Sus scrofa: one gene and its partners. The protein of the gene in region 3 interacts with the protein of the main gene of each other region in a pairwise test. Links are inferred from orthologs where the notes say so. Each region holds a gene or a part of one and is shown on either strand. Other genes may lie near its edges.

Region 1 (4,442 bases), on a different chromosome or scaffold from region 3:
AACAGTATATCATTGAGGGATACAAAGGGACCAAGTGAACACACAGAGAGCAGAGAAACAAACCTATAATGAGAACTTGGTATACTGCAGAAGTGACATTAAAAATCAGTGGACGGCAAAAAAACCAAACCAACCAACCAACCAAAAAAATGACCTTAACAGATACCTCACCAAAGAAGTTATACATATGGCAAATAAGCATAACTTGCAGTGGGTACGGCAAAACAATGGAGTAGTTGGGGCAACTGGCTAGCCCTGAGGTAAATACTAAAATTAGATCTATAATGGATGCCACACACACACACAATTCCAGATAAGCTAAATACTCATGCACGAAAAACACATCTTAAACATTTACATCCCTGCTGGACTGTAAGCTCCTTAACTTATAGTCTGTCTTAGACAACTGTGTAATCCTTCCTATTCAGAATATACAAACACTTAGATAACCAAAAATCTTTTTTTTTTTTTGGTCTTTTTAGGGCGGCACTCAAGGAAATGTGGAGGTTTCCAGGCCAGGGGTTGAATCAGAGCTGCAGCTGCTGGCTACACCACAGTCACAGCAACACGGGATCTGAGCTGCATCTGGGATCAACACCACAGCTCACAGCAATGACAGATCCTTAACCCACTGAGCGGGGTCAGGGATCAAACCCGAGTCCTCATGGATTCTGGTTGGGTAAGTTACTCAAAAGACTTTTTTTTTTTTTTTTAAATTGGGAAGGGGAACTCAAAAGACTTTTTTTTTTTTTTTTTTTTTTTTTTAAATTGGGACGTTCCTGGGCCAGGGACTGAAACTGGGCCACAGCTGGGATCAGAGCCACAGCCAAGATAATACTGGATCCTTAACCTACTGAGCCACCAGGAAACTCCAAGGATTTCTTAAACAGTATACTAAACACCACAAAACATAAAAGACAAAATTGTTAAATCTGTCAACAATAAAACTAAAAACACCTGTGTGACAGAAGACTCCATAATTAAAAGACAAGCCAAAAAACTCTGGGAAATAGATATTAAAGTTTGGGGGAGTTCCCATTGTGGCACAGTGGCTAACGAATCTGACTCGGAACCATGAGGTTTCAGGTTCGATCCCTGGCCTTGCTCAGTAGGTTAAGGATCCGGCATTGCCGTGAGCTGTGGTGTAGGTCGCAGACGCGGCTCAGATCCCTAGTTGCAGTGGCTGTGGCATAGGCCGGCGGCTACAGCTCCTATTGGACCCCTAGCTGGGAACCTCCATGTGCCACAGGAGTGGCCCTAGAAAAGGCAAAAAGACAAAAAAAAAAAAAAAAAAAAAAAAAAAAAAAAAAGATTTGGGATGTGTCAGAACAAACTAAATAGAAAATGGGTAATTGAAAGAGATAATTCATAGAAGACAACACCTAGAGAGATGATAAACACACAAACAAGATGCCTAGTAATCCTGGACTCAGGAAATTGCAAATTAAAATAACGTGCTATTGTTTCACACCCATTAGATCGGGCAAATAAAAAAAATCTCATACAACCAAGATTGTGGGTAATATAACAGGAAATAAAAACTTTCAATGCTCTTACAATCCACTGTGGAGAGCAAATGGCAATAGGTAGTTAATTGATGAAGAACTTCTAGGAGTCTACCCTAAAATTCTTAAGGCAGTGCACTAAAGAATGATAACTGCAGCGCTGTGTGTAAGAGGAAAAAAAGTAACAAAACAGCTAATTGTCCCTCAGCAGGGAACAAACTCCATATAATAGACCTCATAAGCAGTTAAATTAATAAGATCTCCATGTATCCAAAGGCACTTATCAAAAAACCACAGAGTTTAAGGAAAAAAAAAAAAAAAGGCAGGTTACACAAGGATAAGTACCTTATATTTAAAAAACAGGAAAGAAGTGATATTATTTTCCAAATATCTTACTGAAAAAACTCTTGACTTTTCAGTCTGACTCCCTAAACAGGTACAGTGTTGCTTCATCCATCTGCACTCACTGGAATCAAACCTATCCTTTAAAGATCAACTTGAGTACCCCAGTCTGAAGAGATTATTCAAAGCGCTTGGTTTACATCACCTATGTAACAGTATTAGGGGTGCGAAAGACTGCACACTTGCTTAGAATAGGTCTCTTTTTGCATGAATCACGTCTACTATGAGTTCCTTAAGGTTAGGGGTACTGTCTCTGTATTAAATTTAACAAATACAGTCACTGCGTTGGTTGAAAGGGATTAAAAAGTTTAATAAGAGAGGGTTCCTGCCTTGAGGAATCTATGAGTTTATGATGCAGTAGAGAGAGATGGACACATAATTACAGTAAGAGTTATAAAAGCATAAACAGATTATGGATAACAAAACTGGGATTGTATCCCGCACAACGCCTTCCAAACAGCAAGCGTTCACTTTATTTATTACTCTAGTTTATTGGTGGAGGCCAAGGGAAGAGGATGCTTGCTGTAGGAGTGAACCGACAGGCTCTAGGAACAAGATGAGGTGGAAATAGTGTGGGTGTTTTTTTCCCTTCTAGGCAACGCGATTGGATGCGAGTTTGATGGCGAAAGAAATAGGGGGCAAGGTCTTAAGGATCGCTGGGGCTGAGGTGGTGGGCCCGGGGTCGGTTTGGAATATGCTAGGGAAACAAGTAAGATCCGACTGGAAAACAGCTCAACACAGTACCTTTCTCATTGCGAACCGGGACGGCCCCAGCCGTAGACTGAATAGGCGGTTGTTTCATGAGTGCGCTTGGGACCGACATTTTGATGGCAGCGGCGGTGATTCCAAAACTTGACTGATTCCAAACTGTGAACAGGTACAACGTCAACGAACAGAAAATCCTCCGCACCAGAGGCCACTGGACACTGCTGCGTACTGATAGAAACACCACTTACGGCTGAGCTAGAAAAACAGGAAATGTACGACTAGAGGATTGTGGGATTGTGGAGGACGTCAGGGAGCCAAAGTCCGTGGAGTCTGTTACTGCGCATGCTCATAAACTCCCTGTCGACCTTAGTCTCGCGGTATTTGGACGCCACTTCTGGCGGGAAATGGCTCTCTGGACTTTGCGGTTAAGACTCTGAGGTCCGCGGAAGACCCGAATTAAAGGTTTCGCTGATTAGGTTCGTTTGAAGCCGAGGAAAATGGCAAAGTGATGAAGAAGAAACCGAGGAGTTAGAGAAGGACAGTGTGTTCAGATTGTTGAAAGCTAAGAATTAGAGTTAAATCGAAATAGAAATCCTGCTAATAGCACCTGATTTTCTCACTTGATGAGACCGAGCGGTTTGTAGTGCGATATTTTTGGGTTACGTCAGGGCAAGTGGTGCTAATTTAGACCAGTGGCAGGAAAAAAAAATCCCCTAAACGGCTTAGAACAATGCCTGAAATCCAAACACTCTTAGGCGTTTCAGTTCTTTCCTTTCTAGAGACTGCCTATTAAAACATATTCTTGGCTGGAATGGTTGTATATGAAAGTCCATAAGTAATTATTAAGCACTTGCTGTATTTACCTCGTTTAGCTCTAAGGAGTATGGAGCATTGTTAAAAGGCTTATGTCTTCCAAATACTTGAATTTTATTTAGGAAGTCTTCAAGGGCTTTTACAGTAATATCAGAAACAATCCCAATTTACTTGCTGGGCTGTGTAAAAAACATAGGCTAATTGAAAGTCAAAACACATTCAGTGTAGAAAGGATTTTATAACTGCTGTGGTGGGGAGGGAAGGGACACATGAGCAAAGTCTTGAAGTACAGAAATTGCATGGTATATATATTAGACACTATGAAAAGTTTGATTTTATCAGTAATTTTTCATTTGAGGAGTGTGAAAGTTCCTGAAGGGCTTTGAAGGATTCGTTCTAAAATTATTTCATCTGTGTTCTAAAATTGGGCTTAGGCTGGGAGAAATACAATTGAGCAAATCTCCATTAAGGAACAATGGATGACTCAAGTAAGCCATCAAAGGAGCAATTTTGAGCTGGAAAGAAAAGGACTGTAAAAATAGAGCAAATAGAAATTTGTATTATAATTTTATCAGCTTCAAAACCGTGCTATTCAGAAGGAGTAAATCTGATGGGAAGGCAGTTAGTTGTTTCTGCTCACGGACATCTAGAGAATAGAAAAAAAAGTTTGATATGACTGTAACTCTTAAATGCAGTGCCCTAAAGTCTTACATTTGGTGCTTTTGTGATACAGAAGCTATTGAGAACTTTCTCCCAGTGTTGGGGCTTTGTAAGGTCATTACTAGAATCCTAACTGGTGGGCAAAATTTAAACCAGCTTAGTTAACTTGTGGGTGAAATTAAACCAGCTTGTTATTGGCTCTTGAAAAAATATCAAAATGCTTCCTTTCCTAGGGAGAAGATAATAAGGTAGCCATAGGGCATAGTTTTCTGGTGGTGGGGTTACAAGGAACTAGGAGTCAAGGTAAAAGGCTGCATGTTGGTTTCGATTTCATTTCCTCTTTATTTCATACGA
Region 2 (4,555 bases), about 76 Mb from region 3:
CCATAGAGTTTAATCGCTGGTTCTATGCTATGTATTTACTAAAAGCATTTGTATTCATCACACAAAGAAAAACTCCATATGTGATATTAGTCACATTTAATTCATATTATTACTAAAATTATATCACCAAGAAGGGCTGATTTCATTTCAGTTTTGTTGTTGGAGCATTATTTCTCTTGGCAGAAGCTCTAGCTACTCATACTCATGAGCTGTGCATTAAAATTCACCAATAAGAAACTGTCACATGGAGTTCTCTTATAGCACAGCAGGTTAAGGATCCAGTGTTGATGGAACTTTTAAATGAGTGTCATTATTATGATGTGTATTAAGAAGGTGTAATGCAGACACTTCATTACCAGGTCTGACATGTCAGTAAATTTTTTCCTAACATGTTACTGATTTGCATCTCTTACTTGGCCTTGTCCTCTATAGAGGAAGGTGCTGCTACTGCTGCTTGATTGGGATGGAAGTTTGGGCTGCACTTCCTGCATGATAGAGGGGACCAAATCTATACTCATCGAGGCCCAAAGGAGGGAATGTGTCTGCCACACAGTCTGTGACAAAGAAATACACTGAGACCACTTAACCCAAAGTGGGAAACGAAGACAGGGCCAGTCCTCATTAGCAAAAGGAAGAAGAGAAAATAAAATGATAATCACTATATTCTTAAAAAGATGTAACTGATATGGTTTGGTGCTACTTAAAAGGTTAAGAAAAAATGAGAAAAACTCTAAATACTTAAAAATATTTATTAATCAAACAGGTATTTCAGGGCAGGTATCTATTATATGCCTAGTGCTATGATGAATAGTACATAGAAAAGTATTTATTCTTAGCAATCAAGACATGAAAATATGGGTTTATTTACATGTATTGGCTAAATAGGGCCAAGGTCTACTATTAATTTTTAATTTGTATTGGCAACCAGCACTCTATTGATTGCTTTTCTTTTTTTCATTATCAGGTGACAAATATCCTGGACACACAAAAAATTCTGGCTGTTTAAAGCATTCTTGGCAGACCCTAGATGAGAACATCACCATCCTGCCAAAGGCTGGAGCTGAAGCACTCGAGGTACTCACCCTGAATGGCTGGTCTGGGATGAATGGGAAGTAGGGGATGGCTGACTGCTCTTCACCTCTTTCCCCAGATATACAAGAATTTCTGAGCAGCTGTCGGTCTGTGAACACAGCTTTAAGTTCAATTGCCACATCGGCGGGAGGATCTTCCGAGTCACCACAGGTCAAGCTGATGGCAAAGCTGGAAAGAAAATCATCTCATTTATTCATGGTTGAATAGAAAGACATTTAACAAAGACCTAGGCTCCCAATCCTTTCTTCTTCTCTGGATTTGTCAGCTTTTAATGGGCCACTACTCTTCACATGGGAGGTTAGACTATGGAGCAGTAGGATTACAACAAACTGGTTTATTTTGTTACCTAGCAGAGGCCCTGGTGAAAACTTCCCTGAAGATGAAAATAATTAACTGTAGACATTTCAGATACCCCAAACCCACACATCTGTGTCTTAATCCATTTCAAAGTCTCAAATTGAGCCCAATAACCTGACCAGGGGAAATACTATCTTGTAAAGTTTGGTTCTCATTTATATTGATAGTTCTTACTCCAAACACCATCCTTTAAAAAATGTAAAAAAAAAAAAAAAAAAAAATCCTTCGGGCTCTCTAAGGGTCAAAGAGAAAATGATGTGGGCCTATATTTATAATCTCTGATATAAATAGCTGTCTAGAGAAATGATGGCTGGGATTCATACACATTCTTTTCATGGGAACATAGCACTTTCTTGGCACTTCCAACTAGCAACACTGGCCGCAAGGGGAAGAAGAGGAGACAGAGTAAACCACAACAGGAATGGGTAAGACCTGGTGACCCTCTGATAGATCTAGGTGACAAGAACTTGTCTTACCTCTCCGGGTTGAGGTCTACGATGCCCATCACTAACACCTTCTTGCCTGGTCTCATGCCACCTTTAATGTGCCCACAAAATGGCACGATCTGCAAAGGAGAAAGTTTACAGCCTGTTAGGGAAGAGCCAAGCCCTCAGATTCTGAGGACCTGACCCATTAGAAAACGCAGTTAGAAAGAAGAGGGTACAGGCAGGCAGACACAGAGCGCAGAACAAAATCATTTACCAATCGTGGGAAGTACACGTCGGCTTGAACTGGAGAGCCCAAGGAGTTGTTTAAATGCCCATCGTCTAGTTTCTAAAAATAGAAGCAAACAGATTGGCTTTCTAAAGGCCTTTGGGGAGGGGGTTGGGGGGCGGGGAAGAACCTACACAAATCCGGCGGAATCCAGCAGCCCTGCACAGAAAGCAGGCAGTATCTGCAGATGCTGCCACCTCACAGTCCACTGAAAAACCGCATAACCCCCCAGAACAAAACCCGTCCTTTCCACCAGGTAGCTAAGCCTCTGACGATCCCCAGACCCTTCCAATCTAGATCAAAATCAAGGTCGAGGCCCACTGGGGAGCCAGTGCCCGGCGCCGGAACAAGGCAGGTCCCTCTCCAACAGCAAACGCCCCTAGAAAAGCGGTCGCCCAGGCCTGTCCTCCGGGACGTGGCTGGAGTGCAGTGGCCGCGCTCAACTTCTCTCGCGAGCCCTCGGCGCGGACCCATTTCCAAGGGGGAATCCCCGGGACGTCGGCGGCGGACGCGGGGCGCACGTCCCGGACACAATCACACAGGCGCACACTCACACGTGCAACGTGCACACACCTGGCCGGCGGCTGCACGGCGCAAAGGGGTATGGCGGTCACCCCTATCCCGCGGGCCGCCCCCACACATCTCCCCTCAGCCAGGGCCCTTCGACCGGGCTACCCCTCCGGCCGCACACCGCGCACAGCCCGCTCCCGCTACCAGGTACTGGGGCGCCTTTCCACGCGGGGGGCGCGGGGCAGGGCCTCGGCTCGGCGGGAGCCGGCGGCCTGGCCGTGCGGGCCGCTGGAGGGGGGCGCACTCACCACCACAGCATCGCTGTCGGCCACCGACCCCGCCATCTTCTCGCGCAGCGCGGCGGGGAGCACGGCTGGCGGCCCGGCGGCAGGGGACGTGGGACGCAGCGCGCGGGCGGGGATCCCGGGGCGGTCCTGCACCGGGCGGGAACGCGGGTCCGAGGCTGGCTCAGGCGCGCGCACACACGCGGGCACGCGCGCGCGCGCACCAGGGGCCCCGGCGCCGACCCGGCCGGTGGGGCCGGGGAGAAGGGGAGGAGGCGGGGGAGGTGCCGCGGGCCGGCAGGTCTGAGGTGGCCGCAGCCGCCGGCGTCCGGACAGCGCTGCCGAGTCGAGGCTGCTGGCTTCTTCAGGGTGCTGCTGCCGCCGGTTGAGGAAAAAGGTGGCGAGGGCCGCGCCTTGCCGGCCCTGGGCAGCATTTAAAGGCCGCCGAGGCCCGGCTTGGGAACCGGGAACAGGGCGGGGACCCGGCTGGGCTGCTGCGGCTTGCTCAGCTTGCCCTACCCCTCGGCCATTGGACAGTGGCAGGAGGCTGGGGCGGGAGGGACGGGCCTGTCGGGCTCGGGGCGTGAGTACGGGCGGCCGCCCGGTCGGCCCTCTCCCTCGGCAGGGTGGGTGGGGCTGGGGCACGGGGAAGTGAAGGCCTGAGCCTGCCAGGTGACAGGTGCTTGTGACATCCCGCCCCTCCGCTCCATCCTTCTCCGGCCACGTCTCGGAGCAGGTGGGACTGTGGAGACCGAGGTCAGCAGAAGATTGGGAGTGCAGATGGTATTCCAGAGCTCAAGATTTCTTTCAGAGAATTCCCACAAAGTACGAGGAAAGATTCATTGGGCTTTCTGGGGTAGAAAGATAATGAAAGGTCTCTGAGCTTTGCAAAAATAAATATTTGACCTAAAAGCAAGAGGTAGAGAGAATTCACAAGTGGGACTTTTATATTACAGAAGATTAGGTACAGAAGACTCCACCCCCCGCCCCGCCCCCATGGAAGAATGGGCAAGTCTGGGGCTACCTGGAAGCTCTCTCATGCAGGGGTCTGGCTAGTCTTAACAAGTTGAATCCGTCAGAGTGACTGCCCTCAGAAAGCCTCCATTAGACCGTTTTGTTGTTGTTGTTTTCTTGGTTTTATTAACAAGTCACCTGCTCAGTATAGGGAGTAAATTTGTCACTGAAAATCTCCTGATATACTTTGTGGAGCACTTCTCAGGGGGTACACCCCTCTTTATTCCAAGGCACAAATTCCTTTATGGTTTCCAAATTAGGATGATTATGTAACTACTCAGATAAAGCTGTATCAACATACCCTTTATTAGATGACATCTTGGCTTAAACATTCCACTGTGTGAATCACTCGGGTGATTTATACTAATAAGCAGGGAGCATGTGTGACCTTACTGCAATTCCAGAGGGGCCCTCAGAGGCTCCCTTCTTGCCACGTTGCTGAATGTTTGGCCTAGGACATCACTGAGGCTTTTGTGTCTTAGCTTTCCTTTTATGGACCAGAGCTAATCATGATAATCTCAGTGGAGTACAGAGAATTACCTGCACACGCCTGTAAGCTACAGACATATCTTTTGTGTGTGCTG
Region 3 (3,901 bases):
GCGTCGACCCTTCAGACATGCACTCCTGGTCACGGGAACTGGCGGTGACGTCCTGTCCTCCGCTCTCAGCAGTTTTGTGACGACGTCTGGGTGAGCCAGACCCCCGCCCCCGCTGCGGGCTCGGGTTCCAGCCTTAGCGCCTCAGAGGCCTCCCTTTTCAGATCCTCTCCAGGGACCAAGCCAGCCTCCCTCCACCTGCTGCAAGGCCCGGAGGGAAGGGCGCCGATGCTGCGCTGCCGGGGCCGCGGGCTCAGGCGCATCGGACCAGGCCCCCCTGGGCCTCCCGGTGTGGGGGAGCCCCGGGGGGCGACTCCCCCTCGCCTCCCACGTCCCGCAGTCTTCCTGGCTCTTCGGGGGCCCCTCCCGCTGGGAACAATGAGCCGGTCTCCCCGTCCCCTCGGTCCGTGTTCCCCTGGCTCTGCCCCTGCTGATGGCCCGAGGGCAGGGCCGGGTCCTGCGGACGCCTGTTTTGAGTCGGCAGGTGCCACACAAGCCCGCTCTGCCACTCCACCCTCACTTACACACGAGCCCACGGCGGCGGGAGGGGCAGCCCTGGACCCGAGAGCCCTGCTGGCCGGCGCCCCGTGGCCCACCGTGCCTGCTGAGTGGCGCCGGCGGACAGCAGACGGCGGACGTGGGAAGGAGGGTGCGGCTCCGTTGGGAGAGCGGACGGCGTGGGTCCCACCGCAGCCCCCCGGCCGGCGCCCTCCTCCCTGGGCAGAGCAGGCGGGGCTCCGCCGGGGACCCCTGGGGATCGGCTACGCAGCCAGGCGGTGACAGTGTGATCACCTTGTGTGCCACTGACAAGATTCGATGAATATGAATGCACTGCCTAATTAAACTACAATTAATCTCTCTGGCCCAGGCTGGGTAAGGAGGGGGCCCTGGGGGAGGCTTCTGCCATCCAGGGCCACGGCCCCGAGAGGGTTGTCAGCGATTCCTGTCAACGGCCCAGGAACACCTGGGCACAAGGTCCCCCTGCCAGTTGGAGCCCGGTCACCTGAGGCTGGGCAGCGGCCCCACAACACCCCCCCTCCCGACTCCCAGCCAAGCCCGGTGCCCAGGAGGGCACGTGGCAGGTACAGCTTCTCCCATCACGTCGCAAACTTGGGCTTGCCGCATGCGACAGCGGCCACGACTATCCAGCCTCCAGGGCCGCTGCCAAGGAGCGAGGAGCGGAAGCTGTGCCAGTCCTGGCCTTTGACAAGTGACCTACTCCTGCTGCCGGGCGGGTGCCATCATCCGCCACGCGAGAGGCCCCCTCACCCTGAGCTCTGGGCGCCCTGTTCTCAAGACGGCTCCTTGGGTTCTCCGAACTTTTCCTCCTGTTTCCACCTCACTGCATTTTCGTCCCACTTTCAGATAAACTTGCTCCACTTTATAAGTCTTCTGTTTAGACTTCCGTTTAACTCTTGGGTTTTTCTTTATTTTTGGCTACACCTGAGGCATATGGACGTTCCTGGGCCAGGGATGGAAGGTGAGCTGCAGCTGCGACCTGGGCCACAGCCATGGCCAAGCCGGACCCTAAACCCACTGCACTGGGCCGGGATCGAACCCACAGCTCCGCAGTGACCCGAGCCGTGCAGCCGGATTCTTAACTCACTCTGCCACAGAGAGAACCCCTCACTCTTAGATGTTTTTAACTTTCAGTAGCTCATTAGTTTTCATTCTGAAACCTTTTAAAGTCCGTTGTTCATGTTCTGGCCAATGTCTCTCCTTGTCTCTCCGAAGGCACAATTTCTTGGGGTTTTCTTCACTCTGAAGGCCTATTCCCTCCAGTTGCATCTTTTCACTTGTTTGCTCTGTGCTGTTTTTCAGATGCTGGACAATCTTAGCGACAGGTAGCAGTGGCCTGTGAGCAGAGGCGGGGCCACCGTGGAGGGAAGAGCCAACTGCCTCCGGGGCCTCTAGGGCCAGTGCCTGTGGGCCTCCCGGGGCTGCACAGGGTTCCAAGGGCCACATGGCCGCCAGGTGAGAGGAGAGGGAGGGCAGGATGGGTGGGGCTCTGGTGCCCACCTGCCTCCCCCTCTACCCTGTTCATGGCCCTGGCCACGCTGTCTGCAGAGCAGCAGGTCATAGATGGGGGCAGGGGGGCCCATCTGAGCCAGGAGCTCTGAGCTCGCAGGTCTCAGAGCCCACACGTCCCGGGAGGCTGCTGCCAGCCTGCCCCCCGCTGCCCCCGGGAACCGCTGCTCTGAGAGCACAAACGGCTGTGTCCAGACGGCCACTCTGTACTGTCATGGGAGAGGCTGTGGTCCACGTGGGCACAGGACTGGGTGAGGAGACCTGCCTGCCTCTTTGCAACCCTGTACAGCAAGCGTCCTCCTGGAGAACGGCCGGGTGCAGCTTTGGGCAAGACCCTGCTGCTTCGAGGGTGCACCCCTGGGACGGAAACTCAGATCTGGCTGACGTGGAGCCCTGGACCTCTGAGACCGTGTGTGCCTGGCGCCGAGCAAGGCTGCCAACCAGGGACACGGGGCCTCGGGCATTTAGAGAAAGGCTGGGTGCACGTGGGGACAGCAAGAGCTGCAGCTAAGACCCCAGCGAAGGAGCCAGGCACAGACCCCGCACCAGGCGGGCTCATCACAGGCCAGGGAGGAGGACGTGACGCCGCACACACTTCCCAGCGCCCACCCTGCAGGCACACGGGGCGAGACTGCAAACGCGCAGGAGGAAGCCGGAGGCGGCTTCCCGGGAGGAAAAGCCCCTGAGCAACGCCCGAGGCGGACGCTGCCTACGCCCTTGCAGACCCGAGAGCCCCGCGCTCCAGAGGGCGGGGTGCCCTCTCCCCAGGCCGCCCGAGGCCCTGAGCGGACGGCAGCGCTGGGCACCCTCCAACAACTGCAGAGGGAGGCCGCAGGTGCCCCCTGGCCTCCGGCCTTCCCCATGGGAGTGGGGTGGTGACCCCTGGGAAGGGTCCTCAAGGGATGCCCTCTGTCCCTGGAGCTGCTGGACCTGCCTCTGCACCGCAGCAGGGACGTGCCCAGGGCGGCGCCTGGTGACCGAGGCACGCAGTGGACGGGCTTGGTGGTCATGGAGCTGCCCGGGAACAACGAGCGGTGACTCCAGAGGCTGCAGCCTGGTCTGGGGCTTCAGGGCACACGAGACCGCACGCTGGAAACGGCTGCTTCTTGCCGTGCGGGCCCTGCTGCAGAGGGCTTGCGGGCTCCCTGAAAGGCCCGCGGGTGGGGAGACACAGTCCCTGTCCCCCCAGCGCATTGGGCTTCCTCGGGATGAGCGGACACACCTGCCGCAGCGGTCGGGGACTCAGCCTCTGGCGCCTGCCCGATTCCTGCTGCTCTGCAGGCCCACCCACCTGCCTGGACGGAGGCTCCACCTCCTGCACAGCCCAGGGTTGCCCACCGACAGACAGACGGATGGGGAGGGGGCCTACCTGCCACCTCCTTGGACGAGGGCAGCCCCGCGGCGGCCTCCAGGTCGGCGGGGACGGGGCCCCCGGCCTCCAGGGCACGGACCAGCTCCCGCAGGTGCTTGCACTCCTCCTGCAGCTGCTGCCAGTCCTCTCGGAACCGCTGTCTCGCCACGCTGGCCGGGTTCAGGCTCAGGTGCAGCACCTTGGTTCTGCTCTGGTCAAAGTCACCCTGCGGGACCACAGGCGGGAGGTCAGAGCCCCAGGCAGAGCGCGAGCGAAGGCAGAGCGGAGCCGCGTGCAGCCCAGCCACCCCCCCGGTCTCACTGCCGCGTCCCGAAAAAACCCACCCAACCCACCTGCGGAACATCGGAGACTCTCAACACAGGAGCGCCCGTCGCTGAGTCTCGGTACCACTCGTACAGTGACCGGGACGGCTGGCCCTTAGTAGGGCGACGCTTTCAAACGCCATCGGCAAGCGTCCTACTGACCTTGGGCTCTCGCCAGCTTTTAACTCAGCAGACCTCCTGT

The links. The genes of interacting proteins can lie anywhere in the genome.
Region 1: the proteins of MAD1L1 (region 3) and MFAP1 interact in binary tests that used the Homo sapiens proteins (3 or more experiments, as listed by UniProt). The two-hybrid records come from large-scale screens. The link is inferred for Sus scrofa from reciprocal best matches to the Homo sapiens genes MAD1L1 and MFAP1.
Region 2: the proteins of MAD1L1 (region 3) and LGALSL interact in binary tests that used the Homo sapiens proteins (3 or more experiments, as listed by UniProt). The two-hybrid records come from large-scale screens. The link is inferred for Sus scrofa from reciprocal best matches to the Homo sapiens genes MAD1L1 and LGALSL.

The regions. Positions count from the first base shown.
Region 1 is NC_010443.5:127,739,896-127,744,337, reverse strand, and holds the start of MFAP1 (microfibrillar-associated protein 1), read right to left. Parts: upstream 2,932-4,442; 5' UTR 2,731-2,931; coding exon 2,652-2,730; intron 1-2,651. UniProt on the Homo sapiens protein: Involved in pre-mRNA splicing as a component of the spliceosome.
Region 2 is NC_010445.4:77,475,929-77,480,483, forward strand, and holds the start of LGALSL (galectin-related protein), read right to left. Parts: upstream 2,932-4,555; 5' UTR 2,806-2,931; coding exon 2,737-2,805; intron 2,224-2,736; coding exon 2,152-2,223; intron 2,015-2,151; coding exon 1,926-2,014; intron 1,261-1,925; coding exon 1,083-1,260; intron 1-1,082. UniProt on the Homo sapiens protein: Does not bind lactose, and may not bind carbohydrates.
Region 3 is NC_010445.4:1,297,190-1,301,090, forward strand, and holds part of MAD1L1 (mitotic spindle assembly checkpoint protein MAD1), read right to left. Parts: intron 3,603-3,901; coding exon 3,395-3,602; intron 1-3,394. UniProt on the Homo sapiens protein: Component of the spindle-assembly checkpoint that prevents the onset of anaphase until all chromosomes are properly aligned at the metaphase plate.